Linked DNA regions of Tamandua tetradactyla. The protein of the gene in region 1 interacts with the protein of each later gene in a pairwise test. Links are inferred from orthologs where the notes say so. Each region holds a gene or a part of one and is shown on either strand. Other genes may lie near its edges. The genes, in order: MGAT5B, DMRT3, HOXA1 and KRTAP26-1.

Evidence for each region.
Region 2: the proteins of MGAT5B (region 1) and DMRT3 interact in a two-hybrid assay, tested with the Homo sapiens proteins (2 studies listed by BioGRID). The two-hybrid records come from large-scale screens. The link is inferred for Tamandua tetradactyla from reciprocal best matches to the Homo sapiens genes MGAT5B and DMRT3.
Region 3: the proteins of MGAT5B (region 1) and HOXA1 interact in a two-hybrid assay, tested with the Homo sapiens proteins (2 studies listed by BioGRID). The two-hybrid records come from large-scale screens. The link is inferred for Tamandua tetradactyla from reciprocal best matches to the Homo sapiens genes MGAT5B and HOXA1.
Region 4: the proteins of MGAT5B (region 1) and KRTAP26-1 interact in a two-hybrid assay, tested with the Homo sapiens proteins (3 studies listed by BioGRID and IntAct). The two-hybrid records come from large-scale screens. The link is inferred for Tamandua tetradactyla from reciprocal best matches to the Homo sapiens genes MGAT5B and KRTAP26-1.

Annotation. Positions count from the first base shown.
Region 1 is NC_135332.1:17,795,690-17,803,452, forward strand, and holds the start of MGAT5B (alpha-1,6-mannosylglycoprotein 6-beta-N-acetylglucosaminyltransferase B), read left to right. Parts: upstream 1-4,762; coding exon 4,763-4,855; intron 4,856-5,021; coding exon 5,022-5,125; intron 5,126-7,748; coding exon 7,749-7,763. UniProt on the Homo sapiens protein: Glycosyltransferase that acts on alpha-linked mannose of N-glycans and O-mannosyl glycans.
Region 2 is NC_135328.1:97,227,337-97,234,589, forward strand, and holds the start of DMRT3 (doublesex- and mab-3-related transcription factor 3), read right to left. Parts: upstream 3,017-7,253; coding exon 2,563-3,016; intron 1-2,562. UniProt on the Homo sapiens protein: Probable transcription factor that plays a role in configuring the spinal circuits controlling stride in vertebrates.
Region 3 is NC_135327.1:96,059,779-96,067,231, reverse strand, and holds HOXA1 (homeobox protein Hox-A1), read right to left. Parts: upstream 3,014-7,453; 5' UTR 2,956-3,013; coding exon 2,310-2,955; intron 1,873-2,309; coding exon 1,517-1,872; 3' UTR 341-1,516; downstream 1-340. UniProt on the Homo sapiens protein: Sequence-specific transcription factor. Regulates multiple developmental processes including brainstem, inner and outer ear, abducens nerve and cardiovascular development and morphogenesis as well as cognition and behavior.
Region 4 is NC_135336.1:89,679,501-89,685,419, reverse strand, and holds KRTAP26-1 (keratin-associated protein 26-1), read left to right. Parts: upstream 1-4,762; coding exon 4,763-5,413; downstream 5,414-5,919. UniProt on the Homo sapiens protein: In the hair cortex, hair keratin intermediate filaments are embedded in an interfilamentous matrix, consisting of hair keratin-associated proteins (KRTAP), which are essential for the formation of a rigid and resistant hair shaft through their extensive disulfide bond cross-linking with abundant cysteine residues of hair keratins.

The DNA.
Region 1 (7,763 bases):
AAGCACGAAATATGCATCGGGGAGATAGCTCTCCCCACTAAACGGCCTCCACGTGGCTCGGGGTGCTGGCGTCTGTGTGGGGCTGCTTGTTCCCCGCACCGCGTGGCTGTTGATGATTTGTGCACGATGACGGTAAATGTTGTTATGCCATTATTTATGCCCTGCGCACCAGCAAGGACAGTGGCCTATTGCCTCTTAATGTGCTGTCTGCTGCTGCAGTCGGAGCACATTAAATGGGGATTTCAAACATGGTAAACTGCTTGTTTCTATCTTTCCTCTTGCCCCGCCCCCCCCACGCCCCCAGGACCAGTCTGTGAGCTCCACAAACAATAGTGAAAGGCTGGGAGTGGGGGTGGGTGGGTGTCAAGGCTCCAATGCCCAGGGGGCCCCTTGGAGCCAATGAGGGGGTGACAAAGGCCCCAGGAAACAACCCCCCCTTCCCGCCCCCAGCATGCACCCTAGAGTGGAGACTTCCACCCAGGGACAGAGAGGTGCTGTGCAGATGTGGTGGGGGAGAAGGCAGAGGGTGGGAGGGGAGAAGGGAGAGGGTGGGGGTGGGGGCTGCCCCCCCACCCCCCTGCCAAGCTCGTGGTTCCCTTTATAGCTCCAAAGAGCAAGGGGCTCGGGGCTCAGCATCTGATCCGCCCTTGACTTCAATGCTTGGATGAGCCCTCCAGCAGGAGAGCACCCCAATTCCAACTGCCCTGTTCCTCCCCCATCGGAGGTAATGGGAGATTTGTCTAGAACTGTGGTTCTCCACCCTAGCCAGTTACGTTGGGAGAACATGTGGCACTTAAAAAAAAAGTACCCTAACCCCACCTCAGATTCTGAATCAAAATAAGGACTCGTTTTTCGGTCCTGCAGGCGGGTCTGCTGAGTGGGCAGGGTTGAGGAGCACAGGTCTCTAGAGCAGGTCGTGGTTTGGATTCCCTAGAATTAGATTCTGAGCAAGGATTCAACAGCAAATAGTTTACTTGGGACATGTTCCCAGGAACATCGACAGGGGAGGAGACATGCAAGGGAAGGAAGCCAGTGGGGGGTGTTACAAGGCCCGTCAGGACCAACAGCTACTGGAGCTCCGACCCGCCAAGGAGCCCTGGGGGCCAGTGGGGAACAAGCTTCAGAGTTTCCCACTAGAGGAAACTCCGGGGGTGGAGCTGCTGATCCATCGCTTACCTCCTGGCACTTCGGTCTTGGCCGGGGCATTTTCTAGCATCTTCCCTTGGCCAGGAAAACACCTCAGACAGAGAGTCGAAGGTCTCCGTCATCTGCCTTTAGCATGCAGAGCTGAACGTAGACGGACTATGAGGAGGTCCCAGCGGCAGCTGCTACAGGCAGACAATAACAATAATCAATAATCATAACCACCTGGGATGGAGGCCTCTTAGGTGCCAGATAACGGGCTATTTATATGCATTCACCATTCTCAGTTCTCGTAACAACCCTACCAGGCAGCTACAATAAATAGCTTCAACGTACAATTGAGGGAGCCGAGACACAGAGGTTGTACTCAAGGTGGCATAATGTAGGGACTCAATTTTTCTCTAACGTCTGCAGCACAGTGGAGAGCAAGCAGGACCACTGATGCTGAACTTCACTGCAGACGGGGCTGAGAAAAGGGAAGCAGACTGAGTGGGACAGGCAGCTGGACAACTTGGCTCACAAAACACCATCCATTTGTCCTCGTTTTAACCTCACTGCTTGGCCCCAAGTCAAAAGGCAGAGGCGACCTTCCCCGTCCCCCCTTCAGAGCCCAGAGGTGTAGGGAGTACCCTCCCCATGGCCTTGTAGGGAGACCCCCATCTTCCACCTTCAGGGGAGGCTTCTTCTTTGGCCTCCAATGCTAGGTTTAAATGCAACCCCCAAGCTTATGGGAGAGAGACAAGCAACTGCAAGTTTCATTTCATTATTTATCTAGTTCTCATGGACGTGGCTTTGGCCTTGACATCCAGAGTTTGAATCATTGCCTAAGTGTTGGCAGAAGTCGGTGCCCCACCACTGGTGTGATTTAGAGGCACAGAGAAGAACCTGGCCTCAAATATCCCCTTCTCCAGCCTGCCACCACGTGTGAATTTCCCACCACCATTTCTCACTCTTCTGCATGAAGTTGCCGTCACTGTGTCCTTGTTACATGCAAATCTGTTACCCAGCTGGAGCAGCGCAATAATCTGCCAACATCAATTTACCTTTCCTTCTCACATTAGCAGACAGCAAGGCGATGAGATAATGGAACACAAAACAGGTGAATTTTGATGAAGAAGGAGCAGGGAAAGCAGGGAGCACATCCCCGGGAGTAAGAAATGGCTTGGGAGCAGGGCTGGCAGGTGGCAGGACAGACAGCAAAGGGGCTTTGCCTGGGGGTGAGACCTGAGTAGGAGGGGGGTGTGCGGTTCTCCTCTCCTTGGCCATCAGCAGCATCACTGTCTCAATGCACCGTTTTACCCTTGGCCAGAGGTGTGGCTGCCCAGCGTGGGGCACGGTGTGCTCCTGGCTAGGGAAGGCCTCCGGAAGGCTGCTAGGGCCTGCGAGCTGCTCCCTGCATATCTCTGCAACTGAGAAAGCATCTCCAAAGTCGAGAAATGGATGCTGAAAACCTAAGTTCTGCAGATTTTAGAGTCGGTGGCAACTTAGCGAATTTCTGGTCATTTTCAGTTTGTAACGGAGGCATCTGGCCGGGAGACTTGTGTGAGTGGAGCAGGCCGCGCTCTTCAGTGGGGGATCTGAGACCGGAACCCAAGTCCCCTCTCTGGGCTCTGCGGAAGGGCCCCAGCGCCACAGGGCCGAGTGTGTACTCAGACCCGGAAGAAAGGGGAGCCGCGGAGTTCCTGCCCAGGGAGGGACAGAGGATGGATCAGCGCTACCAAGCGAAATCCGACTCGGTGTGCAGCGGCGATTCCCGTGGGCGCAGCGGCAGGGAGGGAGGGCGCGCCGTAGCCCCGGGAGGAAAGGAGGGTCCCGGCCAGGGCCGACCTCATCCTGGCCGGGCAGGAGCCGAAGCAGCGCTCGGCCCTCGGAGCTAGTGGCGCCCGGGATGCTTCCGAAGGCGGGCTCCGGGGAGGTCGCACGGCCGGGGGAGACAGAGACCCTTGCACGGCGAGCCCCGCCTGCCCGCCCGCCCGCCTCCCGGGGCCCCGGGCTCCCGCCCCCCGGCAGGTGGACGCACGGCCGCGCGATGGCCACGAGGGGGCGCGGGCGCGCCGAGGAACGCGGCGGCCACTCCCGGGCCGCCCCAGCCGCGGCTCGGCTGCCTCCTCCGGGGAAACAATGCGGCGCCTCCGGGCGTAGCGCCGCGCGGGGCCGGACGCCGGACAGCGACCGCGGGCAGCCGAGCGGGCGGCGGCGGCGGGGCCGGGCGGACGCGGGGCGCCCTCGGCGAGCAGCATGGGCGCGGCGCGGCGCGGGGCCGGGGCGCGGTGCGGCCCGGAGGCGCGGAGACCCGGGGCTCGGGCAGGGGGCCGCTCCTAGCCGGCACCGAGGGCGCGGCGGCCGGGGATGCGAGAGCTCGCGGCGGGGAGCCCGTCTGCGCGCCGCGGCGCCGTCCCGCCCAGCGAGCGAGCCGGAGCAGGCAGACGCACGGCCGGCGGGGTGGGGGCGCGCCGCCTCCCGGCCCCCGAAATGTGAGGCGGGCAGGGCAGAGCGACGCGGAGACGGCCCGGTCGGATGCCCTCGCCGCCCTCCGGCAGCCGCCGCCTGCCCCTGCTCCTTCCTGCCCAGGCCGCGCCGACCCCGCGAGCCGCGGCCGCCGAGCCCCCGCGCCCCCAGCCCCGCTGCGAGCCGGCCTCAGGCCGGGCGCGGGTTCGCGGCCCAGACGCGGCGGGAGCTGGGACCCGGACGGCGCGTCCTCGCCCAGACGAGTTTGAACAATGATCACGGTCAACCCCGAGGGGAAGATAATGGTCAGAAGATGCCTGGTCACTCTGAGACCCTTTCGGTAAAGTTCTCTCCGGGTGGGCGCGGGGAGGTCGTTTTCCCCGCAGGGGTCGCGGGCTAAGGGTGGGCGAGGTCGCTCCCCGCGAGGGTGCACGTCCGGGCGGCAGAGGGGGCCGCCGCGCCCCGCCTTGGGGCAGGAGGAAGGTGGCGGTGGAGATGCCGCCGGCGGGGCTGGGGCTACGGGTGGAGGTGGGGTGCGCGTGGGGCGGGGTACCGGTCCCGAGTTGGTAGAGGGGGCAGAGGACTCTGGTATGCTGGTGGGAGCCGGGGCGCAAGGCACCCGGCCGATGACCAGGGCCCGGGCAGAATTCCAGCCAGCGCGCCCTTCCCTGCCCCTCGGGGCGCCGCCCCACCTCCCAGCCCGCCCCACCCCGACGGCTCAGCGCAAAGTTAGCGCGGCAGTGCTCGGGCGGCGCCGGGGGGCGCATCCCGCCGGCCGCCCCTAGATCCCCCACCCCTCCGCGTACTCCTCACAGCGGGATGCGGGCCTGCCCAAGACGGGAGGGTCCCCGAGATTAGGGTGAGGAAACTGGGGGGAGGGGGGAGGATTCGTCCCGCCCTTGGACAGTGGAGAGGCAGAGGGACGGCTGGAGCCGGACCGCGGCGGGGCGTGGAGGTCGCACTGAGGCAACACCTCTCCTCTCACCCGCCACCTCCGGGATTTCAGGCCTGGCAGGGTCGGGGCCGCACAGGACTCGCTGGGACTCTGCTGGTCCGACCCCCTGGGTTCCCCTGGGCTTGGCTGGGCAGGAACCGCTTCCTCCCCTCCCAGGCGTCCAGGAACCCGCCCGCGGTGGGGGTGGGGGTGTCGCCGAGGAGGGGGCATGGTGCCATGGGTGTCCGGGGCTGGGATAGGCACCCGGCCAGGCCACACCAGACTCTGGACAAGGCCACAGGTGGGACCCGGTGTGGGGAAGAGCTGCGAGTTCAGGGGAAGTGCCCAAGGCTTGGTCTGAGGGAAAGGCCGGGCTTGAGACCCTCTCTCCGTCCCTCTGACCCGAGACCCCCCAGCCCCTAGGCGGTTACTGGTCCCTCCCCTGCACTAGGCTGGGAGACACTGTGGCTCCCCCAGCTCACACCCCCCCCCCCAGAACAGCCTCGATGGGCTGTGCCTGTTCTGTGGGGCCGGGGAAACGGGCTCCGGGGGTCAGCAGGGGTCAGGCCAGGCCCACTGCCTGGAGCATGGGGGAGAACCGTAGAGTTGGGGGTCTCTGAGGGCAGACCACGGTGGGTGAATGAGGGGGGGTGTCAGGAGCCCCCAGCTAAGTTTCCCAGGGGATGCAGGGTGGGAACCCAGCCTCTTTCTGCACAGGGCCTTGCTCCTCCAGGGAAATCCTCAAGTCCCTGACCTGGCCAGGCCAGAAGAGGAGCCCTCGCCCCGCCTGCCCCCACCCCAGTGTCCTTCTGGCCGCGGAAAGCCCAGTCCAGCCCAGCCTCTGGCCAGAGTGGTGCCCGGATGTGTCCCGGCTCAGGTCCAGCACCATGGACAGCATCCACTACCCGGCGGGGCCTCCTGGCTCCCCTGTGGGTCCTGCCCCCCAAAGTTGGTTCTTTCTGGCTGTTACTTGAAGGCTGAATTGAGAGGTGGGGTTGCATAGGTCCTCCCACGCCCCACCTCCCGAGTTGTGCCGTTGTGTTACTTCACCTCAGAGTCTCCCCAGGCTGTTTGGAGACTTCCAGCCTTCAGTCGGGTCTTCCCATGGGGGCTGGGCCTCCAGTCCCATCACCCTCACTTGTTAATCCTCAAGGACAGGCTGGGGGTCCTGCTTCCCTAGTTTCCTCGGAGCCTCTGGCGGAGGCTTCTTGCTTCTGGAAAGGAGACATGGGTGGATGAGAACATTTTAACTTGAGTCTACAGTAAATGATCCCGTGGTTGTTTTTTTCTAGAGGTGGGGGGTCACTTTATCCCATGATTGGGGTCTTGCAGAGAGAAATGCAGATGAGATGTGTTTGGGGCAGTTTTCGGGCCCCTGTTAAGACAGGGCACCACCTGGCTGGGTTAAGGGCACAACCTGGCCTGGAGGCCAAGGTGTCACAGCAGGGCTTTGGACCCAGCAGCCCTTCAGCTGGGGATGCAGGGGGATGCAGAATAGGGAGCTCGAACTGGGAGGCATCTGTTCGCGTCCCCAGGCTGAGGGGCCAAATAGCCGGTTTCCCTGGGATCTCCTGGGTGTGTGACCCTCCCCCTATGCTGTCCCCCTTGGCTGTTGTCCCGAGACCTGCTTGACTTTATTTTGGGGACTGCAGGCCCTGAACCTCAGTCCCCAGCCTCAGTGGGGCTCGATGTGGTGGTCCCTTTGAGGGTGCCCGCCCCTCTACTGAATTATGTCTCCTCTGCCCCCCTGCCAGGGGCCGTCTCCCAGAGGAAGCCCTCAGTGCCATCTCTCCTTTGGGGTTCTGGCCCCTCTTTGATTTAACCTCCAGCATCTTCCTTTAAATATGGTTAGGGATTTTGTTGTGCTTTTATTTTCTTCAATTATGTGCTCTCTTTAATGGACAAATTTTAATTAAATACTGCTGTGCCAGTTTCAAATAATGAAGATTAAAATGCATAAAGCAAGTGTTGCGTAACAGTGTGAAGTGTGGGGCCTAGGGTGGGGAGAGGAGGTGGGAGGGCTGGAGGGCTCTGGCCCAACTTGGGGTCTCCCCCTGGTGAGCCTGGCTCCCCATGAGATGGGGTTCCTTTTTCTCACCTGGGTTGGGGGGGTTCTACAAGCTCATCGAGTCCTCTGATAGATTCAGGGTCCCAGAACTGCTGCCACCCCAGGCCATGCTGGGGAGCTCATTCCTCGTGTTTTAGGACCTAGGATTTCATATCCAGCCGTGGGACCTGGGGTGAACCTGGGACCTCACAGTGAAGCAGTGGGAAGCTTGTGGAGGGTTCTGGGTCTCATTTCCTGCTCTCTTCCTGGCACCTGGTAGAGACACCACTGTGTGTGGAAAGAATGAACCAGAGTTCACTTTTTGGCCAGCTCTTTTGCCCAGGTGACAGCGCACACACCTGCATGACACCCTGTGCACAGGTGGTATTGAGCCTGCCTTGGTCAATCAGTGGTGCAGATGGACAAGCTCCTGTGTGCTTTCCTGGCCAAAGATGTGTGTATGGTAGAGGCTAGGTGCAGTAGGGGGCCAGACGTCTCTGTTCTTGGAGCCCCCTTCGAGAACTGCTCAGAATAAGCTTAGGGAGGTGTTCAGGCCAGCTCATGACTGATGAAAGCCCCTGTGTATACAAGTGCTGGGGGTGGCCCAGGCAACTGATGGCCTCCAGGTAGGTCTCGTCTGGGCCAGTTACTTGTCCTCTGCTGGCATCAGACTCCACTGTTTCCATCTATTCCAGAGGATCTCAAACTTCAGCATGTAACAAACTCACCTAGAGTGCTTGTTAAAGACTGCTTGCCCTAATCCCAAGAGTATCTGATGTGAGTCTGGTGGGTGGGGTGGGGCAAGAATGCATTTCTAACAAGTTCCCAGGTGAAGCTGGCAATGCTGGTCTAGGAACCACACTTGGAGAACTGCTGCCTTTGATAGCCTCTCACTTAAGGCAAGAACTTTCCCCACCTATACCTAAGCGTGCCTCATTTGCTCCTTGTGGTTTTGCATGTGGTTTTTGCTCAGTTCCTTGGAGTTGAGCTTTCTTGATCTTAGGGTGATGAGGTCCCAGTAGCTCAGCTCCCTATTCTTTCATCCCTTGATCCATTGGTCCATCCTTCCATCCACCCTTCCATCCTTCCGCATGTACAGAGCCCCTCCCACGCAGGAGTGCTGTAAGCGTTGTACAGCTCATCTGCCCGTCTCACCCTCCTTGTTCCTCTCCACAGGCTTTTTGTCCTGGG
Region 2 (7,253 bases), on another chromosome or scaffold:
TGATATGTTACATACAAGATATGTTACATACAAGTATATAATAAGAAATGCAGAAATACATAATGCATATTATATCTTTAGCAACAGGCCCTCTCAATCAAGTAGTTTTCTCTAAATTTAAATGTCAAATGGACTTTCTCCTTACAAAGCCTTGCTAAGGAAAAGAATGAGCTGTTATTTTCCTGCTCTCCCCTCTACCACTGGATTGGTGGTTCAGCTTTAAAAAAATAATAAAGTAGAATTATGGAGTGGAGCCAATAGAAAGAAGAAAGCAAAAGTTGTTTAAATGGATGTACAAGGTATGCAGCGTGACCACCTGGAAACTGAGCTGTAGGTTCCTGAAGGTTCACTTCCCCCACAAAAGACGTCACTCTGGTCTCTCCTTATGGTAAGCCCTATCCTCCCTTGCAATTACTTGCTTTCAATTTGAAGAGCTCAGGCCTGAATACTTGGCAGAAGGAGAGACCCGGGTCTGGTTTGTCCAGCTGAAATTAGTCCCCCTGTTTTATTCCCCAAAGCTATATATCCTTCTGCCAGAGTTGCTACTCCACTCTCCTTTCTGCACTCACTGCCCCCATCTGGGAGTTGTTCTTGGTTTTGTGACTCTAGACATCATGACCTTTGGCTATCCCAAAGGATGGTATGAACAGCATAGGATATGAAAGGAATCCCCCCTTGGGCAAGGACCCCCAAGACCCAATGACTAGTTTCAGGCACATAGCAGCAGCCACTGCAAATGCTACCTCTGCCATTAACTGGGTCTCAGGCTCTGATCCTGGGGGAAATGCAGCCAGGGAAACTGGAAATAAAAAAGTTACTGGCACAGATCAACTTCTAGAGGAGAGACTAAACTCTCTAAGTTAGTTGTTCTAATCTAACCTAAGAGAGAAAAAAACAAACCAAAAAAAAAAAATCTCTTTCTCCCCCCTCCCATTCCTCTGAGGCAACTCCATAAATATGAAGAGCTGAGACAGGCAAAAGAGAGATAAGTGGGGGATATTACTCATATCTTGGATTAAATACTTACAAAATCTCTATTCAGCAAACTCCCTTCTGTCCTAAAAATACTGAGTTCTACTCCTCACACAAGCTGTCCTCAGAGCTTCAGGACTGCACAGCATAACTGTACCTGCCAGACCACCTATCAACACACTTTCATTTCCCCAGCTCCACCCAGGAATCGGTGCCCCTGAGAGTCTTCCTCCAGTAAGCCAAGGGGACTGGTCTTCAGCAGAGGGTTGGGGTGGGGAAATGTGGGCAAGCAGCAGCCTCTACCTCACTTCTACCGATAGGAAGGTTATGGACCTTCCCTTTCCTAATTCATCCGTGATGCCCCCAATCCCCTCTCTGAGACTATGGGCTTTTTTCCTTCCTATATTTTGTTCCAGTGAAAGGGAAACACAAGCCCACTGATTTCCAGGAGTCAAAAAAATCAAACGGTTGAGCTAGGCAGCAAAGTAAGCTAGAAATTCCCAGGGAGGAAAGGGGCTCAACTGGTGCCTGCCAGGTCAGGAGGCCATTAGGAGAGAAACAGAAGGAAGTGGGGGGGGGGGGGGCATGAATCTGTACACCACTAGGGAAGAACAACCCTCTCTAAGACACTGGAGAGAAGAAGGGAAAGGGGGAGTAGATGGAAGAAGAGGTGACACAGTCTTTGCTCTAAACCTTCAGCTTAGCAGCCTGATGACCAGGCCCTCCTAGAACTGGGGAAAGAGCTTTCCCAAGGGGGCCGTCCTCATTTGTAGGTAGTTTTTTGGTTTTCCTCTGAACTGCAAGGACAGCTGAGGATGGCCTACGGAAGAGTATTAAAGACTCTGTCTGAGTGGTTCTGCAAAGGGAGTTGACCCTGGGTGCACTAGATTCTGTCTCCCCTATCAGCTTAGAAGACTTTTGGAATCTTGTTATCAATCCTGAGAGGCTTCTTTCACCAAATCTTTCAAGAGGTTGGAGGCTATAGTGTGCCCCCAGAAAGGCTCCGATTTCCCCCAAATTGGAGATTTGTGTCCTTGTTCCAATTCCCCTGGGCCGACAAGCACCGGGCTCGTCTCAGCCCAGCTCGGATTCAGACAAACGTTGAGCCTCCGCTCCTTCCTTACACCAACCTGTCCTAAGTTCCAAATGCGAGACCCTCTAAAACACCCGCCGCTGGGGAAACCCGCACGCACAGTGCCGTTTGCGCGGGATGGGGTGGGGGTGGGGTAATACAGTCGTTCGTGGCCTCTTCATTCACTCGCCTAAATTTACATACATTTTCCCCTTTAACCTAGGGCAGGCATGTTGCTATCCGGACGCACAGTGGCACAGTCTCGTCGTGTAGCTGGCGGAAGGCGCTCTTCCCGCGGGTGCCTCTGTTCCACCCGCGCGGGGTCCAGACTCAAGGCCGCTTCTGCCCGTTGAGTAAGAACCCGCCTGGCATGGGTTGCGGGGAAAGACCCAATCAGGCCAACCCCCCCCCCCCCCCCCCGCAAACTTTGCCTCCGGGGTTCCCTGGCAGAGCCACAGGAGGCGCTCTGAAGATGCCCACGTGCCCCATTCGGTGTCCCGCACCGCGGATGCTCTTACCTGGCTTGACGAGCTGTGCCTGCAGCACCCCGGGCTGGGGGTCGGTGGCCCAGCGCAGCGCGGCTGCCGCGGCCAGCTCAGCAGCGGGGCGCGGCGGCGGCGGCTGCGAAGACTGCGAGGTCGGTGGTGGCGGCGGGGCGGCGGCGGCGTCCCCGGGTGGCGGGGGCCCCGGCAGGGCCCGCAGCGAATCCGGGATGAGGCTCTCCAGGCTCTCGTTGGCCTGCTGCCGACGCAGCGCTACTTGAGCCGCCATAACTCGCTGCCGCTCGATGATGAGGATGCACTTCTCACAGGTGCAGTCCTTGAAGCGGCAGTAGCGCTTGTGGCCCTTGAGCCAGGACAGTACTCCGTGGTTACGGCAGCGCGCGCACTTAGGCGTGCGCTGCAGGGGCGCCCGCGGCGGCTGCGACACCGGGCCGCCCATGTACAGGTAGGGGGAGCCGTAGCCGTTCATGCCCCGGGCTCCTAAACGGCCGGGTTAGTGGTTCCGCTCCGGGCCGCCCTTCCGTGCGGTCCTTGGTCCCGCAGATCCCCGCGGCCACGGGCCCTCGGGGCGGCCAGAGGTGCGGCAGCAGTCTCTCCCGCGGTTTTCGCGGCTGCGGCCTACCGGCTCGTGCCCCGCCACAATCCCCACGCCAGCCTCGTCTCCGCCGGCAGCTGCTTTGGGCGCGCAGCCCGGCCAGCGCGTCCTCCCTTGCCGAGGCGCTGCGGCGGCTGCAAGGGGCCGGCAAGAGCTCTGGTTAAGGTCTGAGCCAGCACGTCTGCAGAGCCCTTGTGCGCTTCCCCAGCCCAGCACCTCCTCCGTCGCCTTCCCTCCACCCCTCCTCCCTCCCACCGCCACCCCCACCCCCGGGGTCGCTGTCTCCTGCACTCCCCACTCCACCCCACCCCACGCCTTCCTTCTTCCTTCCCGCTCTCGCCCCTCGGGTCCCCGCACTTCACCTTCCTTGCCACCTGCTGCCTGGCCACTGTCGCGGGGGTGCTCCCAGCCCCCTCCTCCAAGCCCTCTGCTTCCCCAGCCCGCGGCAGGGAGGGACTGCAGCGCTCCGAGTCGCGGCAGTGCACGTGGGGCGGGGAAGGGGAGGACCGGCGAGGGTGGGGGTGCGTGTAGGCTAGTGAGGTGGCCGCTCCCCCTCGCTCCCCCCTCCCCTCCTCTCTAGGCCGGATTTGGCGGCATACAGCCCGAGGCCGCTTTTTATCCAGACGCTTGGCCACGGAAACCAGGCTCGTCTAGGACTGAGGGACGGAGTCTACCGGAACATTTGCGGGTGTCTCGGGGATCCGGCGCGGGTCGATGGGGTTATAAATTGGGGAGAGCCAGGTCCAGCAAGTCGGGGTGGAGGGGGGGGTGGTTTTGGTCCGGGGAAGTTTGTTTTTTTCTTGATTTCCTTTTGCAACAGAATTTTGTCTTTTGTTGCAGAAAAAAATGAATGCATTAGAAAGCTTTCAGCCCAAGGATGACAACTCGTTTTGCTGACTGTTTCAAAGGGGGAAAACACACACACCCTACCTGGCACTGGTTTTATTTCTCTACTGCTTCCCCACCGCCATGTTTTAGTAGAAAAACCTCGTGTGTCCGCAAAGGCCGGAGAGGTGCTTGCGGGGTGGGGGTGGGGGTGGGGGTGGGGGGATTTGCTAAGTGCCGGGTCTAAAACTTTCAGAGAAAGGACAGAGGCGCCACTTTAGCGCCGGTAAAGTTCCCGGGTATGATCTCCTCTGTCCCCACCTGCCAGTGAACCTTCAACCGAGAGCTAGCTTCACTCAATCCAAATCCCACAGATTGTGATTTAATTATAGATAAGGGATTGAGCCACCTCTCCCTGCTCCCCATAATGTCTCTAGGTGTGGGCAGGAGGCGGCCTTTGCATCTGATGACCGCATACAACTTTTCTTAGACTTCATTTTCGTGTTTCTAATCTGCAAGTATCCGGTTTGACCCAAGGCCGACTACCGCGACAAAGGCACTGGGACAGCTATCGCCAACCCACCCCCAAAACAAAACAATGCAAAATAAGCGGATACAGTCGGAGCCGAGCAGCAAAAACGGTTCTGTGCGAAGGGGGATGTTGGAAGACCCCGAGCCCTGGGTCCGCAAGGCCTTGGAGCAGAACCTGAGCTCACCTCCAGCTTGGAAGAATCGAATGCCAGACGGGAGCTTACAGAACTTCACTGCAATGCTTGGCCCTTCCTGTGCACCACGGCCCTTGTCCCCTCGGGGAAGCCGCTTTTCTCTGCACTACCCTGGAAGCAAGCAGCAAATACGAAAGCTTTCCTCCGCATTTGCTGTGAATTCAAGTAAAGCACCGCCAGGCGCTCTAGCAGCCTGGTAGGGAGATTCAAGGAAGGGAGTGTACAAGGGAACCCGGTTGTGAGCGTTTCCTTTGAAGCCCTTCGCAGTCTCATACGTCCCGTTTCCGAGGTGTCCCGGAGTCATCCGGGACTGTCCCAGTGGGCCATGAGCAGGAAGACCTTGCCTTGGAGTCCCAGCCCCGGGAGCCCTCCCCCCCAAAGCCAAGCCGATGGCCTGGCGGGCAGGAGGCGGCGTGGCGCCCGCGCTCTTGGGTCTCGGGAGACTCCTGGCACCTCCGGCGCGGATCACGCCGGCGCCTTGCGCACCAACTCCTCCGCCTTGCGTCTCCTCGCTTTCTCGCGCCACCCTCCACTCCTTCCAACCTTCGCTAGAAAAACATCCAGCCCTGAAACACTACTGCTGGAAGGAACCTCTCAAACTCTCGGAGCGCGAGGCATATGTCACCCCACAGCACCGCAGGCTTAGGGCGGGAAACCAGGTGCTGGCAGCCAGACGCTTCACGTGATGGGAGATTTAGAGGGCCGCGAATGACACCGAATCTGGAAACTTTCGCGCTGAAATCTCAGGGGCTCTGGGACTCCGGGGTTCAAGGGCAGTTTTTCAAAGCCAAATTTCTCCCGACTTCCTCCAAGTGGTCAGCAAAAACGAGGGAATGTAATGAACTTGGGAATAAAGAATTTTTTTTAAAAAAAGAAAGCAGCAGAGAGCTCTGCAACAGGTTTGGGGGCTATTCCCACTACCAAGGCGACCCCCTTTCCTCCCTCGGTCACCTATCCACCCTGTCCCTTTGCCATTCAAACAGTTGGGCATTATTTGGTCCTGGGCCCCCGTTTCACTCCAGTGCACATCGGAGGCTGAGTTCTAAATACTCATTTGATATAGCGCAGTAATCCTTTTCTCATATTTGATGGGAATGTTTTCCATATCCCAGTATTTGACAACATCTCCCTATAGGGACAGGTTTGTATTTATGTTGGTAAAACGTCCCCTGCCTCAAAGTCTATTGTAACCCAACACCTGACAACCCCGAGTCCCATTTCTGTTTGCAGAAAGGGTTTATTCAAGCACATAATGGGATCCCAGCAGAAAGCCTTTCAGAACAAGGGGCTATGGTAAACTTCACCACATGAACTCCGTTTCCAGGGCTATTAAGCTTTTAATTGGAAAATAGCAGAGGAAATTTCAAGGTGACTATAACGTGTTAGCAGTTAGCAGGAGAAGAAAAGCAGGAGCGGGAATGAATGTAGAAAGCATATGGTCCGAATAACATTTAGGAGGAGCGGCTTGCTTCTTACTAAGTCCGGGCAGCTTATACGCTTATGGGAAAAATCATCAAAGAAATTGGAAAGGGAGGGAGGAAGGATTACAAGCAAATGTAACCTCTAAAGTGGATCTACTTGCACACTCTCTTCTGGTGTGTGTGTGTGTATGTATGTGTTCAAACCACAATTAACCGGACAGAATTGTGACAGGTATTAATAGCGAAATGGGGAAAGATAATGTATGTATATAATTCTTTCTCTTAACACACAGAGTGTACTTCTAAAAGCTCAGGATGCATGTGCCCTTGAGGAAATGAGGATGTTCTGAGTCGAAATCTAGAGTCCTGGTAGCTGCTTTCCACCCCCCAGTCCAAGTAACAATCAAAAGGACATATTATCCCGGATGTATGATACACTGGGAAATTTTCTGTTTGCTGGATTCTCATGGAGGGGGAGGTCACCGTTACTATTTTGCCGTTTTAAGCGCAACCACGATGACGCTGGTGCAGGCAGACGCTGGGGCCTGGGTGTGCAGAAAGACTCCGTAAAGGCAGAAAAACGTGCCCCCTTTTCTCTGCGTGGGAATTCGGTTCTCACCGTGACTGTGCCTTTCCGCATCGCTCTTTGGCCAGCTTCAAATTAAAAAAAGGGGGGGGGGATGTCTAAGCAGCGGAGCGACTAGCAATCGGTTTCTTGGGGTGACAATAATGTCCTTGTTCTCCCTCGGTTGACTGGGGAGAAGACTCGTGCGCATCCGCATGCAATCCCCGAAGCCACAATCCCGGGCGCGGGATGGAGAGCACGAGGCCGAGAGAAGCTGCACCTGGCGGGGCCGGGAGCGCCGCTGAGTAAAAGGAAGGTCCTAGGCAGCCCGTGACTCACATAATTTTGGAAGTCAGGGAGATGGATCGCAGTCGACGACGACTGCTCTTGGATCTCTAGCGGCCGAGACCTTGGGGAGCAAACGTTGTTGGCACCGAACCGCGTGCGACGCGGCGGGCCTCGTGCAGAGCCGGCAGGCTCCGCTGCATCCTTTACGTTCTCACACTGTCCAAGCTCTAGTTTGCTGTGGCTCCCGCCTGTGCAGACTTCTCAGACCCATTCCGGACCCAAGACCG
Region 3 (7,453 bases), on another chromosome or scaffold:
AAAAGGTTAGCACTTGACCCAGGAAGTATCCATGATTGTTTCAGCAATAGCTCTTCTTCATAAATTTCCTCACCGTTCATTTTTTCCATTATAAATGTCAATTATTATAAAGAAGCTGTTGTTATTTTAAAGAAAATCAAGCTATTAAATAACATTGGTAAGGTGTCATACCAGAATCTGGTGAAATTAAAGTCGTGAAGAAGTTTCAGCTACATGAAAATGGAGGGTATTCACTTTTATGCAAGAAAAGGCCCACTTGGAAAATTCATATCATTCTTTCTCCCCATCCCCAAATGAAATAGACAACTTCGTAGGAATCAACAAATTGTATCCCAGTCAAATACACTGACATTTAAGCATACCTGAAATTGAATATATTTATTACAGACATCTTAAGACCCGTAAACTCTGCTCCGGATCACATCACTCCAGGATCTCAGAGCTAGTCATGATTGTACAGAAAATGGGAAATCAAAGGCTCACCAAGGATAACTGATAGAACTCAGTGTGGTACTTCAGAGACATCAAAACATTGTGCGACATGCAAAAGACTATTCACCAATCACACAAAATATACATTCATTGTGCCATCCATCACATTAACAATTGAGCTGAAAATACATCATATCCAGCTACAGTAACTGTGGAAGGAAGAAGCTGGTTTGAATAATGCCTTTAGGTTCAGAATAATCCAGCACAAATTTTTAATGGAAAGTAACCAGAGAAGCAAGAAAAAAGGGGATGGGGAAAAATTTAATACAGGAAGCCAGGTTTGTGAACCTTGTGCTCTACAGGCCTTCTTAGCTCACTGAAAGAACAAATCAAGGCTATCCTCTGAGGCATCCGATTGGGTTTCAATAAGGAAATTTATTCTTTCACCTATAATCACATATAAAATTGTAGGAGCCATGAGAGTTTGCCCACCCTGTTTGAGTCAATTAAACTAAACTTTCCTAGAAAATCTGTATAAAGATAAATCTCTCAGTCAAAGTATTTACAAAGCCAACTTATACATGAAACTGAATTAAATTAAGGAATGAATGAATTGTGTAAACACACTCATAGTGCATCTATTCTTCATGAGCTCCTGAACTCTTTCCTGTCTTTCTATTCTACTTTTAAGATCAGAGTAGGGGACAACTGTAAAGATACAGATTGATAAAAGATGAGAAGCCTCTCCCTGATATGTTTCTGCTGGCAAAGGGGTCTATTCTCCAAAGGACATCTGGAAAGGAATAGTAGGTTCCTGGAAATACCCTTAAAAGGCAGGAAGGGGTTGTAGGGACCATCAGAAAATTGATGCTGGCACCCAATCTGGATTAAGGAGTAAATCTCCCACCAGGTCTGGTCCAGAACTCTCTGGAAACACATTAACTCGGCCAGGAGTTCCCAGATAGGATCAGAAAGGAAGAGAGAGACTGTCAATGGAAAGGAAGATAAGCTAAGAATGTGCTTTGGGTAAGAAGTCCCAGCCTGAGAAGCCTGGACTGTGGAGCCTTGGGCTGGGGTGGCCTCCTCAGTGAGAGGTGGTCAGGGTGTCTGAGGTAGAAGATCCTGGGGAGGGAACGCAGGGAGAGGAGCTGGACTTCTCTGAGGATTCCTCGGCCTTTTCATCGCTTACGGGCGGAGTAGCCGGAGAGATGGGCAGAAGCCCTTCCTTCTCTCGCTTCTTCTGCTTCATTCGGCGGTTCTGGAACCAGATCTTCACCTGGGTCTCGTTGAGCTGCAGGGACGCAGCGATCTCCACCCTGCGGGCACGCGTCAGATACTTGTTGAAGTGGAACTCCTTCTCCAGCTCCGTCAGTTGCTTGGTGGTGAAGTTGGTGCGCACCGCATTGGGTTGACCCACATAGCCATATTCTCCAACTTTTCCTGGAGACAGAGTAGGAATTGGTGAGGGAAAAAGGTAAAAATTTAAAAATTGATATGAGGGACATTTATCCCCTACAGGCTTTAGAGCAAAGGGAGATCAAGAACTTCTCAGCACAAATCAGGCTACGAAGGGTGAGTGATGAAGTGTAAAGACGTGGTCAGACGAGTGATTAATGAAGCCTAGAGATATTAGCAAAATACATCCCCTCCCCTTCCTACTTACAAAACCTCTAAAACTCAGCCCACTTGGAAACACGTGTCTCAGAGCCTTCTTTGCCCCAAAACATCTGGGCAATCTCCCCATACCCTACAACATCTGTCGGAAGCAAGAACTTAAAAAAAAAAATCATTAGGAATTTTCCTTGCAAACTAAGCATACCAGCTTCTTCCAGTATCATCAAAGAGCATCCACCGGCCAGCAGTAGACGGGGACTGACCTGTTTTGGGAGGGTTTCTTTTGACTTTCATCCAGTCAAAGGTCTGCGCTGGAGAAGATGTCTCCGACGCAGGAGAGCGACAGGCTTCTTGGCTGGCGTGGAGAGGGGACAAGGAGTTATTATACGTGGCCAGGGCCAGGTTCTGATGCTCTTGTCCATATGAGTGATGGATGTACTGAGGCGAGCCCACCGTGCCCCCGGCATAACCCTGGTGGTGGTGGTGATGCTGGACCATGGGAGATGAGAGATTTCCAGAGTAAACAGCGGGAGCGCACGGGGGGTACCCACCACTTACTTCTGCTTCCTGATTTAACGCGTAGGGACTGTAAGGCGCGCCGAAGTTCTGAGCGCCGTAGCCTGGGCCACAACTCGAGTGGGAGTAGGACACCCCCAGATTCCCAGGAGTCTGGTATGTGGCTGGCTGGGAGTGGTGATGGTGGAGGTGATGGTGGGGGGGAGGGCTGATCTGCACACCCCTCCCCACTAGGAAGCGGTCGTCGCCGCCGCAGCTGTTGGCACTGACTGCGCACGACTGGAAAGTTGTAATCCCATGGTCGGAAGGGTAGGCTAGCGCTGAGCAGGTCCCGGAGTCGCCTCCGCTGAGAATGGGGTATTCCAGGAAGGAGCTCATTCTTGCATTGTCCATCTGTCACTGAGTGACCAGGTCCTGCGAAGCCCTGGGTGACCGTGCCAACTTTCTCACTTCCTCCATGGGGTCGAAGAAGAAAAATGATATGAATGTACAGTGCGCAAGACAGGGGGCGGAGGGCGGAGGGCTCTAGGGAGGGGCACGTGACTGTGCCAGCCAATCGCTGAGCCCCCTGCGAAAGTTTGCCGACTCCCGCGGTGATGGATCACTGTTTCAGTGGCATTTAAATCCCCGGCGCTCCTCCGTCTAGGTGACGCGCAGTCGCCCCCCTAGGCAGCCCAGGCCGTGGCAGTAGCTGCGGCGGCTGCTACGACTGATTCCGAGCACTGGGGCGAAGGGGAGGAGAGGCTGCTTTCCACGCGCGCTCAACTCCGCTCGGCCCCCGCCCCTGCGGGAAGTAGGGGCTGAGGGCATCCCCCACCAGCGTTCCCCTCTCAGCTGTGTACAGAAAGATGAACTGGCGAAAGGTGAGAAGGGAAGAGGGCTCTCGGCTCTCTCGGGTGAGGGATAAAGCGGCCGGAACTGTCTGGGCGGAACAGAAAGGGTAGGAAACAAGACCTGCGTAAGCCCCAGTTTCCCGGATCGCTTTTACTGCACTGTCCGTGCTCCGGGACCCTGGGGCGGTAAGGAATGCAGAAAATGGTGGTGGAGAGCGAGGCTGGGCCACCAGCTCTCCGAGCCGAGAAGGAAGTGCGCGGAGGACTGACTGAGAGGAATCCCGGATGGGTGTGGAGCGGCGAGCTCAAGAAAAGAAAATTCCCTTTTCCTAGGAGGGTCTCTGATGCTCCTTTTCCGCCCTACACCGTTGCCATTAGCATGGCAATGAGGAGCTTATGTAATTCGACGCCCCGGGGCGGGTGAGCCCTTGCAGCAGAGCTTGTCAGCAAAGGCCTGGGATGGCCGGACTCTTCTCCACCCTCTCTCTCTCTCTCTCCTCGTTCCCGCCCCTTTCTCCTTCCCACTCAGCTTTGCTCCGGGAGCCCTTCGGGATCCCGAGCAACTCGGCCGCTGGATTTTGAGGGGTAGGAGGCGGGGGAGAGAGATGACGCTAGCGGACGTGGCCTGCGTAGGGGCCGAACCGCGCGCTGCAGACCATCTGCCGGCTCCCCAGGACCCAGGAGCCTGCGCGCTCCGGGTGGGGCCTCGAAGGGCCAGACCACAGCTCCAACAAAGTGTGCTCAGCTCTCCTCTCTCCTTCGTTTCTCTCTTTCTGGAGAGGGGATTTACGAGTAGGAGATCCTCCTCCAACACCCCCCCCCATACACACACACACACACACACACACACACACACACACACTAGATTCGGTTGCATTGCATGTCTGGAGTGGGGGTGGGGGCTAGCAGGTGGGAGGGGTGGTGGACAGATGGCTGATGGTGGACACTAGACACTTTCCTCTTCCCCAACGATACCTCCTCCCCTTTCCAACTTACTGTGTAGCTGCCTATGTGAGTCAAGTGTTTCCCCAGAGAGGCACGTGCAAATCTGAGCATCATCCCAAGCCAGAGGTCCTGGTCTTCATCACACTTATCCTACCCTGATACTGATGGTGTCGTTAATTGCTATTTACTATTAGGTTTCGAGTCAACCACGGGCTTGTAGAGAGAAAAGTCCAGAGGCAGAGAATTGATGCATGCTTAGGTAGCAGAAATCAGCCAAGAAGCTTTGCAGCCACTGTTCTATAGATTTTACTCTGATGGTGTTTACAACATTGAATCTGACAGATGAAAATTATTATGAGGACTGTATGTGGGTTTGGGATTCCTACTTCTTGCCTACCTCCCCTCCCCCAGTTAGAACAACAATGTTTTGCTTGAGGCAGGCATATTTCAAATGTGTTAGGCACCCTTTCAGGCCCCTGTGTTCTGTTCTCCAAATATAAAGTCTCCCCCCAAATCTGTCATCTCAGAAGGGAAAACCCTTGCAGACCTTTAACGCTGGACTCCCTCAGCAGCAGCAAAAAAAAAAAAAAAATGGGTTCCCCAAACACTTCCTTTGGAATGGTATTTTTCTGTGAACTTTGACCCATCCTCAAACTTGGTTTAAGTGGGAGCACGTACAGAAAAGGTCACTACTGCCTCAGTTCCAGCTTCTGGAGAAGGGAAAAGGCAAGACGACTCGCCTGGAAGCGGCTTCCTTGGGAGCGCCAGGCCTGCAGCGGAATAGGAGGAGAAGGGATCCTGTGGGGGTGGGGCTGAGGTGGAGAGTATGAGCTGGCAGTGTGGGTGATCTACTCTCGGAGCCAAAGCTCATCCGTACGTTCTCCCCCCTTGCCTTATTCCTATACCTTTGTTGGCCTCCTCCGCCGGGGTTTGCGCGACCCCCCTGGGCCGCAGGGCGTCCTCCACAAAGCCGCCACCGGCCTCAGCCTTGTCGCCTCCTCTGCTAGCTCCCGGCCTCCGCACTCCTCTCCCTCCACCTCCCTTCTCTCCTGGGTTCCTTACTAAGACAGCCTGGGTGGGGAGGTTTTCTTGGTGTCAAAAGCATGCACTCGCACAACACACAGGTCCGCAGGCACTCGGGCCGGCTCCCGTCTGTCTCCGCGCACAGCTAGCGGCAGGCCCGGCTCTCGCAACCTTGCGGGCTCCGCCTGAGAGCGTCCGGGACCGCAGCTCTCCCGCGCTGCTCACAAAGGCAGCCTCCTCTGACTCGAGCCGGTAGGCTTCCGTAGTTCGATTCCTTCCCAATCCCACCCCCACCCCACCCCACCCCCCACTAAGAAATTCTGGGGCCGATTAGTCGGTGAAGGAGATGCTTGGCGGTCTGGGCACACAGGCCCGCGCCCCACCACACAAGCTAAAGTGTCTAAACGCCCAGAGCAAAAGGATGAAAAGTCTAGCTTGGTCACGATTAAAATAATCGCCTGCAAGCGGCTCGCTGGGCTCAAAGCGCCTCTTTCAAAGCTTTTCTACTAGAAAGGGAAGGAGCCAGGAGGAGACAAAACGCCGCCGAGTCCCGGAGCTGTTCATGGCATCTGCGGCTCAGCCAAGCTGTTGTTTTAAAAGAGCAATAAAAATGAATTATGACTAAACGCCTTCTAACTTAATGCGTTCGGACGGGAATCCCCGGCAACTACGTAAGAGGATTTTTATTTGTGCATGTGTTCCTGCAATTGATCTCTTTGATGACATTCTCATTCATAGAAAGCGTTTGATTTATGAGTGCAGGACAAATCGCACCCAGCAGCCCCGCAACCCTGGCCTGGTCCGGGCTGCCCTGCTTCGCTCCGCGCCAGGGGCCGGAAATCGGCCGCGGTCCCACGAACCCCCCGCCTCCCCACACACACACACAAATGCCTATGCCGCTGTTGGGACTTAGAGGGTTGAAGAAGAAGGGGAAGGTGGGGAGCAAACCCATGGAGAAAGATCGGTATTTCATTATAACTTCCAAGCCGCTACAGTTAAGAGCCGGCTTCGTAAATCAACCCGCCCCGCACACATGTTGCTTACACACTGCATTTTCTCACGCTAAGTAAGTTGCCATCAGAACATTTCTCAGAAAGAGAAAAATAAACATGGGAGACATAAGGAGGGGGGGGACAGAACAACCCAATAACATACCCTAGATCACGTTTTATTGATATTTCATTTTAAAGTGCTTTTTTTTCTCTTTCTAAAAACGGGGTTAATTTATAACCTAGGATGACAAACACACTCCTTTTTAAATCTCAACTTCCTAACCTGACTTCAAAGCTTTGATGATCCATTATTTGCAATGTAAACTGATTTAAGAATGAAATATTGATTTTTCTGACCCTGATAAAAAAGACCCCACGAGTGACTGGACCAGAAGATTGGAAAAAAATGAAGTGCATTTTCCAGCTAGCAACAACTGTTTTATTTTTGTTTTTCTCTATTTTTTAGGTCTGTTTGCTGGACTCATCCACATCTGGAAGACTAATCAACCACACTGAAAATATGCGGGAACTTGTGGGGGTAGGGGAGAACATAGATGTTTGAAACAAACGTGTATAAATAAATGAAATGTTGATAACTTGCTTAATGACCTAGAGACTAGTAGCTTGTTCAAGAAACTCCACATTCCTGAGTGGGAGGTTTCTGTAGGCACTTTATTTCTTCAGTTTCAAAAGCTTCGACTTGGCCCAACTCATCGCGGCCCAATTCTGCTTCTATTACCAATTCAAATCTATGGCTTGAACCTCAAATCTGAAAACCAAATCTATTCCCTTAAAAAGAAAAAAAGAAAAGAAAAGAAAGAAAAAACACTTCTTAGAAGCCCTAGCCATTTTCTGGCTTTTGTTGTTGTTTTTGCTATCTAATGAAAATTTTGACTATACCCCCTTTATAAATATATTAAAATTGAAAAAGAAGATAAATTGTGACCAGAATTTTATTTACTGAGTTAGACTAAAAGAAGAAAAAGAAAGGGATTGGGGGGGGATATGAAAGCTATTTGTAGCAAAGGAGAATTTATCCTACCAAAAAATATGCATGACAATGCATACTAATGTAACACAAAAATAAAAAGAAAGTGA
Region 4 (5,919 bases), on another chromosome or scaffold:
ATGAAAAGGGAATGAGGTTCAAATCATGTAGGAATCATAGCTTCCACCCTCAAGAAGATTATAATATAAAAAATATCAGTTGAATTAGACTATACTCTGATCATTCACCTAGAACTTACATCTCTGGCCAGATAATTATACAATCTTCCCAACTGATAATAATTCAATTATTTTGCACAAATTCAATGATTTCACAATAGCACCAAATGAAGGTGCTATTATTAGGTCACTTGGTTCCTCTTTATTGTGCCTTAGCCTGCAATGGTCTGATTTCGAAAAATTGGTTGTTTCCTCTAGGCCAAGCTAAAAAGAACATTAATCAGAGATATTGATTTGCACAGCAGGAAAATTGATTAACTATATGAAGTTCTCCTGAACTTCATTCTATACTTATGTTCTTTTACATTCCCTGCAAGTTGACTTTCCTCACAGAAGGAAAGAAAGGTTTATAAAGAAGATTAATGGCTTGATTAAGTACAGGTCAATTTTCATTTGTTAAGGAAAAGCCAAGTTCTATTTGTGAATGTTGCATTTGTCAACAAATAATTAAGTATTTGCCAGATTTCCCAATATATGCTGGGAACAATGATAATACTTACTTTGTTTAGAAATGTAATAAGGAGACGTAAGTTAATACATTCGTGGTGGTTTGAAACTGTACGTACCACAGGACAACATGTTTTTAAAGTTAATCCATTCCTGTGGTTATGTACCCATTGTAAGTAGGATCTCTTGATGAGGCTGCTTCAGTTAAGATGTGTCCTACCTCATTCAGGATGGGTCTTAATCCTATTGCTGGGGTCCTTTATATAAACAGAATGAATACAGAAAGAAAGAAGAAAGCCACAGAAGCAAGAAGGTGAAGACAATGAAACCTATAAGAGAAGGGAGAGACTAGTAGATGCTGCCATGTGCCTTGACATGTGACACTGGACCAAAGGATCAAAGGCAGCTGATCTTTGGGAAGAGAGCATCACCTTGATAATGCTTTGATTTGGACATTTTTATCAGCCTCAAAACCACAAGCTAATTTCCATTGTTAAAAGTCAATCCATTTTATGACATCTGCTTTCACTAGCTTAGATAACTAAAGCAATATCTAAAACATTTAGAATAGTGTCTAGGGTATAATAAGGATGCAGTAAATAGTGGCTAATAAGAGCCCATAATATAGTTGGGAAAAATAAGACATATATAGAAAACAAAAGGTTTTCCTTGCAAGCCAAGGGGTGTGTGTGTGTGTGTGTGTGTGTGTGTGTGTGTGTGTGTGTATGCGTATTAGGCAAATCTAACTATAAATATTTAAAGGCTGGAGAAAAATTGGTAGGAATGGTCTGGAAGGAATTTGTAAAGAATAGGGCAATTTAACTGGGGTTGAATAATGGAAAATACTAAAGAATGATTTTTCCAAGTGAGAAGCCAATGACAAGTGAACAGATAATGTGAAACAAGGGTAATGTGGAGTAATTAATCGCATGGGCCAACAAGTCAAAAGGCAGAAAAGGGTCTCTACTGGGAAGCAAAGGAAGGACCACCAAGTGTTTGGGCAAATTCTCTTTGGCTAAATGAAAGTCAACAACATTTTTCTGTATAAGAGTCATCTGATGAAATTTATTTGAGGGGGTAATAATCTAAATCCAATGTTCAGGATAAATATAAGGCAATAGGTATAGGAGCCAATGATGCCAACAAGAAATCTATGTATTTAACAAAGATGCAAATCTCTGAACTTGAGTGATGGCAGTGAAAGGGAGGAAAATGGATGAAAAAACAAAATTAATTTTATGTAGCATTGAGGGAAAGAAACATTAAAATAGGTACTTCCTCATTTCGATCTGTGCTGTATTTTGGAGTAAGGCTGAATGTCACAAAATATTGCTTAATCTCAGCATTCTCTTCTTAAAATCCATTTTAGAATAAACATGCCTGCAGAACAAAATGTCAATAACTTTTCAGATGATTAAATCTTTCAGCATATGAATACAAATTTAGTTACTACAACTCCTGCCCAATAACCCTCAATTGAAATCACTGGGCTTTCATTTTTTCTGTCTTTAAAACTTGACCATAGCCTGATGTGTCCTTCCCTTCCCCAAACCACTGGTCATTTCTTCCCATTTTTCAAAATTAATTTCAAATGCTGAATTTTAGATAAAGCCAGTTTATTATGTCTGCTCTTCTCTGAATCTCACTAATAGAAAGTGGTATACAGTCATGCATTGTGTATTTGTTTTACCACACCTACAGGATTAGGTGTGTCTCAAGAGCAGAAGCCAATTGTATCCTGTTATCATCTCAGAATCTATCATAATGTTTTGCACATATTTGATACTCAATAAACATTTGGTGAATGAATGTATGAGATGCCTGTCATTTATTATCATATCCTTATTGTTGCAATTCTCTGAGTCTTCTTTACCTATAAGAGAGAAAAATTTGAAATTCTACCTCTAGAGTAAGAGAAGTAAAAATCCTTGGCTCCTTGAAGAAAAACTAACAGTGTAGGTATAAATGGGGGAGCAACACAGGATACCCAATTCCTCATAGTATACCTGGGTCCTTGCATCAGAAAAAGAGCCCCCAAACTGTAGTTTATAGAAGCCTTTTAAGGCTTCTCCTGATAAGGCTTCTAATGTGATGCCCAAATAAGCCCTTTCATTTTAGTGGCACAGCTACTCTTAAATAACACCAGTTCAATATATGTTACCTTAAGGTGTAGTTTACTTTTGGGACACCATATTTTCTAAAAATCTATAGATATTTTTATAGGATTACCTCTCAATACCAGAAAAAAATTAAATAGCCTCATGGTAGTACTCTAAAGCAATTGAACCCAAGGGCAGTTGTCTTCAGAATGGCAGACGGATGTCAAAGCAAGATAGCAATAACAAACAAAATATTCTTTTGTAGTGTCTGATGGTCACATTAACTTTTTAACTATTTCATTATATCTAATCCTCTAAATGTAATTTGAAAATTGATGTTAATATATTCATTTCCATACAAATGATATTGGTAGTGACTAGGGTTCAGAAGAATTATGAAAATTGTCCAGGACCTCACAGATAGTAGATGATCATATTAGTGCACTTTGCATAATACTATTTTGGAAAGAGGGAGGAAAATTGTTTGGGGGCTCAAGGAGCATTATTTTCAGATATTTTTCTTAATATCAATTGCCATACTTTCTAAATTCACGTTTTCTCATATAAACACTTGGAATAGTAAAAATACTGTTCAGAATTATGAGGATAAAGTGACATTACACCACAATGGTCTATCACATAGTAGGACTCAGCAAATGCTAGTTACCTTGCCTCTTTTTCGACACCCATTTATTGGATGGAGAAACATTAACATATATACTACATATACACTGCATATGCATACAGATCCCCATATGTGGGTGGACTAATGATACAGATGCTAGGTACTTACTTATAATATAGAATAGCAGACATAAAGCATCAACACACAGTTTTCATAAACATTCAGTTAAGATGGCTTTACCCACTACCAATGCCATTCAGTTGATGCATTCAGGATTTCACAAGACTCAGCCAGCCGTGAGCACCTCTTTTGAAATGAATTTCACAACTAATGTAAGGAATAAAACAGAATCTATGTCTTAATCATTATATCTTATTTTTTTTTTTTTTTTTAAAGGAAAGACAGAGAGAAGGAAGGAAGGATAGAAGGAAGGAAGGAAGGAAGAAAGGGAAACATCTTTTAAACATTTTCTTGTTTTATTGTATTCTGTTTCTCCGTTTTTGTTACATGGGCTGGGGCCGGGAATCGAACCGAGGTCCTCCGGCATAGCAGGCAAGCACTTTGCCCGCTGAGCCACCGCGGCCCGCCATTATATCTTATTTTGACCAAGAACGATAATTTCCAGTTAGAATATGAGTATACCATGAAATAAATAAGGCCTTTCATAGTCATGAAAAATGGCATGTCATCCAATTTTCTTTAAGCAGTCTGTTTATTTGCTTTTGTTCATAGTAGAATCCATAATTTTAACTAAGCCCAACTACTATCATCTATATTAAAGAATATCTCAAACAAAAACCAAGCTTCCATCTTAACTCAATTTATTTATTGAAGTGAATAAATGAGAACATTTTGTGATAAAAATGTGTGTGGGAAGCCACCTTCTACTAGTGTTCTCAAATAAAACAAAGCACAAATTTGGCACATAGAGTTTTTCCATATTATACAAGTTTTATACTCTTTCTACCCCAAGCCATATGGGTTATAGAATTAACCACTTTCTTTTTCAACTTACTTGCTTCCATGCTCCTTACTTTGGACAATTTCAGAAAAGTATAAAATTTCTCCTAAGAGTGAACAATTTGCCACAGATTCAGAGAAGTTTGCTACAAGAGTTAAAGACAATTCCAAGAGAGGAATTTAAGAATGTTTGTGCAATGGTGGTTATAACTGGAAAAAAATGCATGGGCTTCTAAAGTGTCTGTTTTGTTTGGATAATTTAAGGAGACATTCTATTAATATCCAGCCACATGGGTTTATATCCACATTTCATTGACAGAAGGCATTAAAAAGGACATCTAGTTTTATGTGGTCTCTACTTCCTGTGCTATAATAAAGAGTTCTGATGCAGCCTCATACAACAAGGAAGAAGGGAGTCTGTATACAGAACCACCACCTTCTAGCTATATATAAAGGATCAAGCCTAAGAGAGGTATAATCAAACTCAGGCACTTCTTTCCATTGAACCACAGCCTGCTCTTCATACCTCACGATGGCTTGCCACAACTACTGCTCTAGAAACTACAACATGGGATCATTCAGAAATTCTTGCCACATTCCTATTACCTCCTCCACTGCCCACTGTTCTACTAATGTGAGATCTGGAGATGTCCTCTGCTTACCCAGTAGCTGTCAAGGCAGTATCTGGCTCCTGGACAACTTCCAAGAGACATGTAGTGAACCAACCAAAGAAACCTACGGAGAACCAACCAGTTGCCAGCCAGGCATCTGTGTTACCAATAACCGTGGAACTTCTTGCTGCTCTTCCACTGCATACCATGTGCCCAGATCCTGCCAACGAACCAGCTTTCTTCCTACATCTTCCCACAACCCCAGTTCCTGCCTTCCGGTAACCTTTAGACCTCTGAACTACGTACCCAGCAGCTGTCATCCACTCAAACCTCTTCTCTACAGCTTCCAGCCCGTAAGCTGTGCTCCCAGTGGCTATAGACCTTTAAATTGTTTATCTAGCAGCTGCCGTCCCCTGAGCCTCCTCACCTATGGATGCCGACCCTTAGGTTGTTTGACCAGTGGTCCTCCACCACTTAGTGTTGTGTCCAGCAGCCTCAGACCTCTGCATCTTCTCTCCCATGGTTGTCAACCTTTGACTCATGTGGTCAGCACTTGTTGTCCATCCTACTGAGCGCTGGAACGGTAACTTCCTTGTTCCAGACAATAATCCTGCTGAGGAACCAGAACAAACATTCATACTTCATGGACTTTTTGCTTCTTTCCTAGTAGAAACTGCTTTTTCTTGGTTTTACTGTGTCCTATATAATACCAGTTGCTTCTTTCAGATTTTTAATTGTTTTCATTTCTTCATGACCTCAAATAATTGGTTTACAAGCTCTTCATTGCCACTCATGTGTGAGAAGAGTTTATTTGCCTTATATTGTAATAAAGTAGATTCAGTCAGAATTAAGAATCTGGTTCATCAATGTGTCTTTGTTGCTTTATCTGACAAAGAAATTACCAATCTCACCTGCTTGCAATCTGAATGCATAGGAGAGATGATATTCAAACCATATGTTCATACTTGGAAGAAGGGGTATAGCTTGGTGGCTTATTCCACAAGCTGCTCTCTAGACCTGTGATCCTAGATATTCTTAAGAAATGTACATACCTGCTGTTGGAAGTTATTATGAAAGG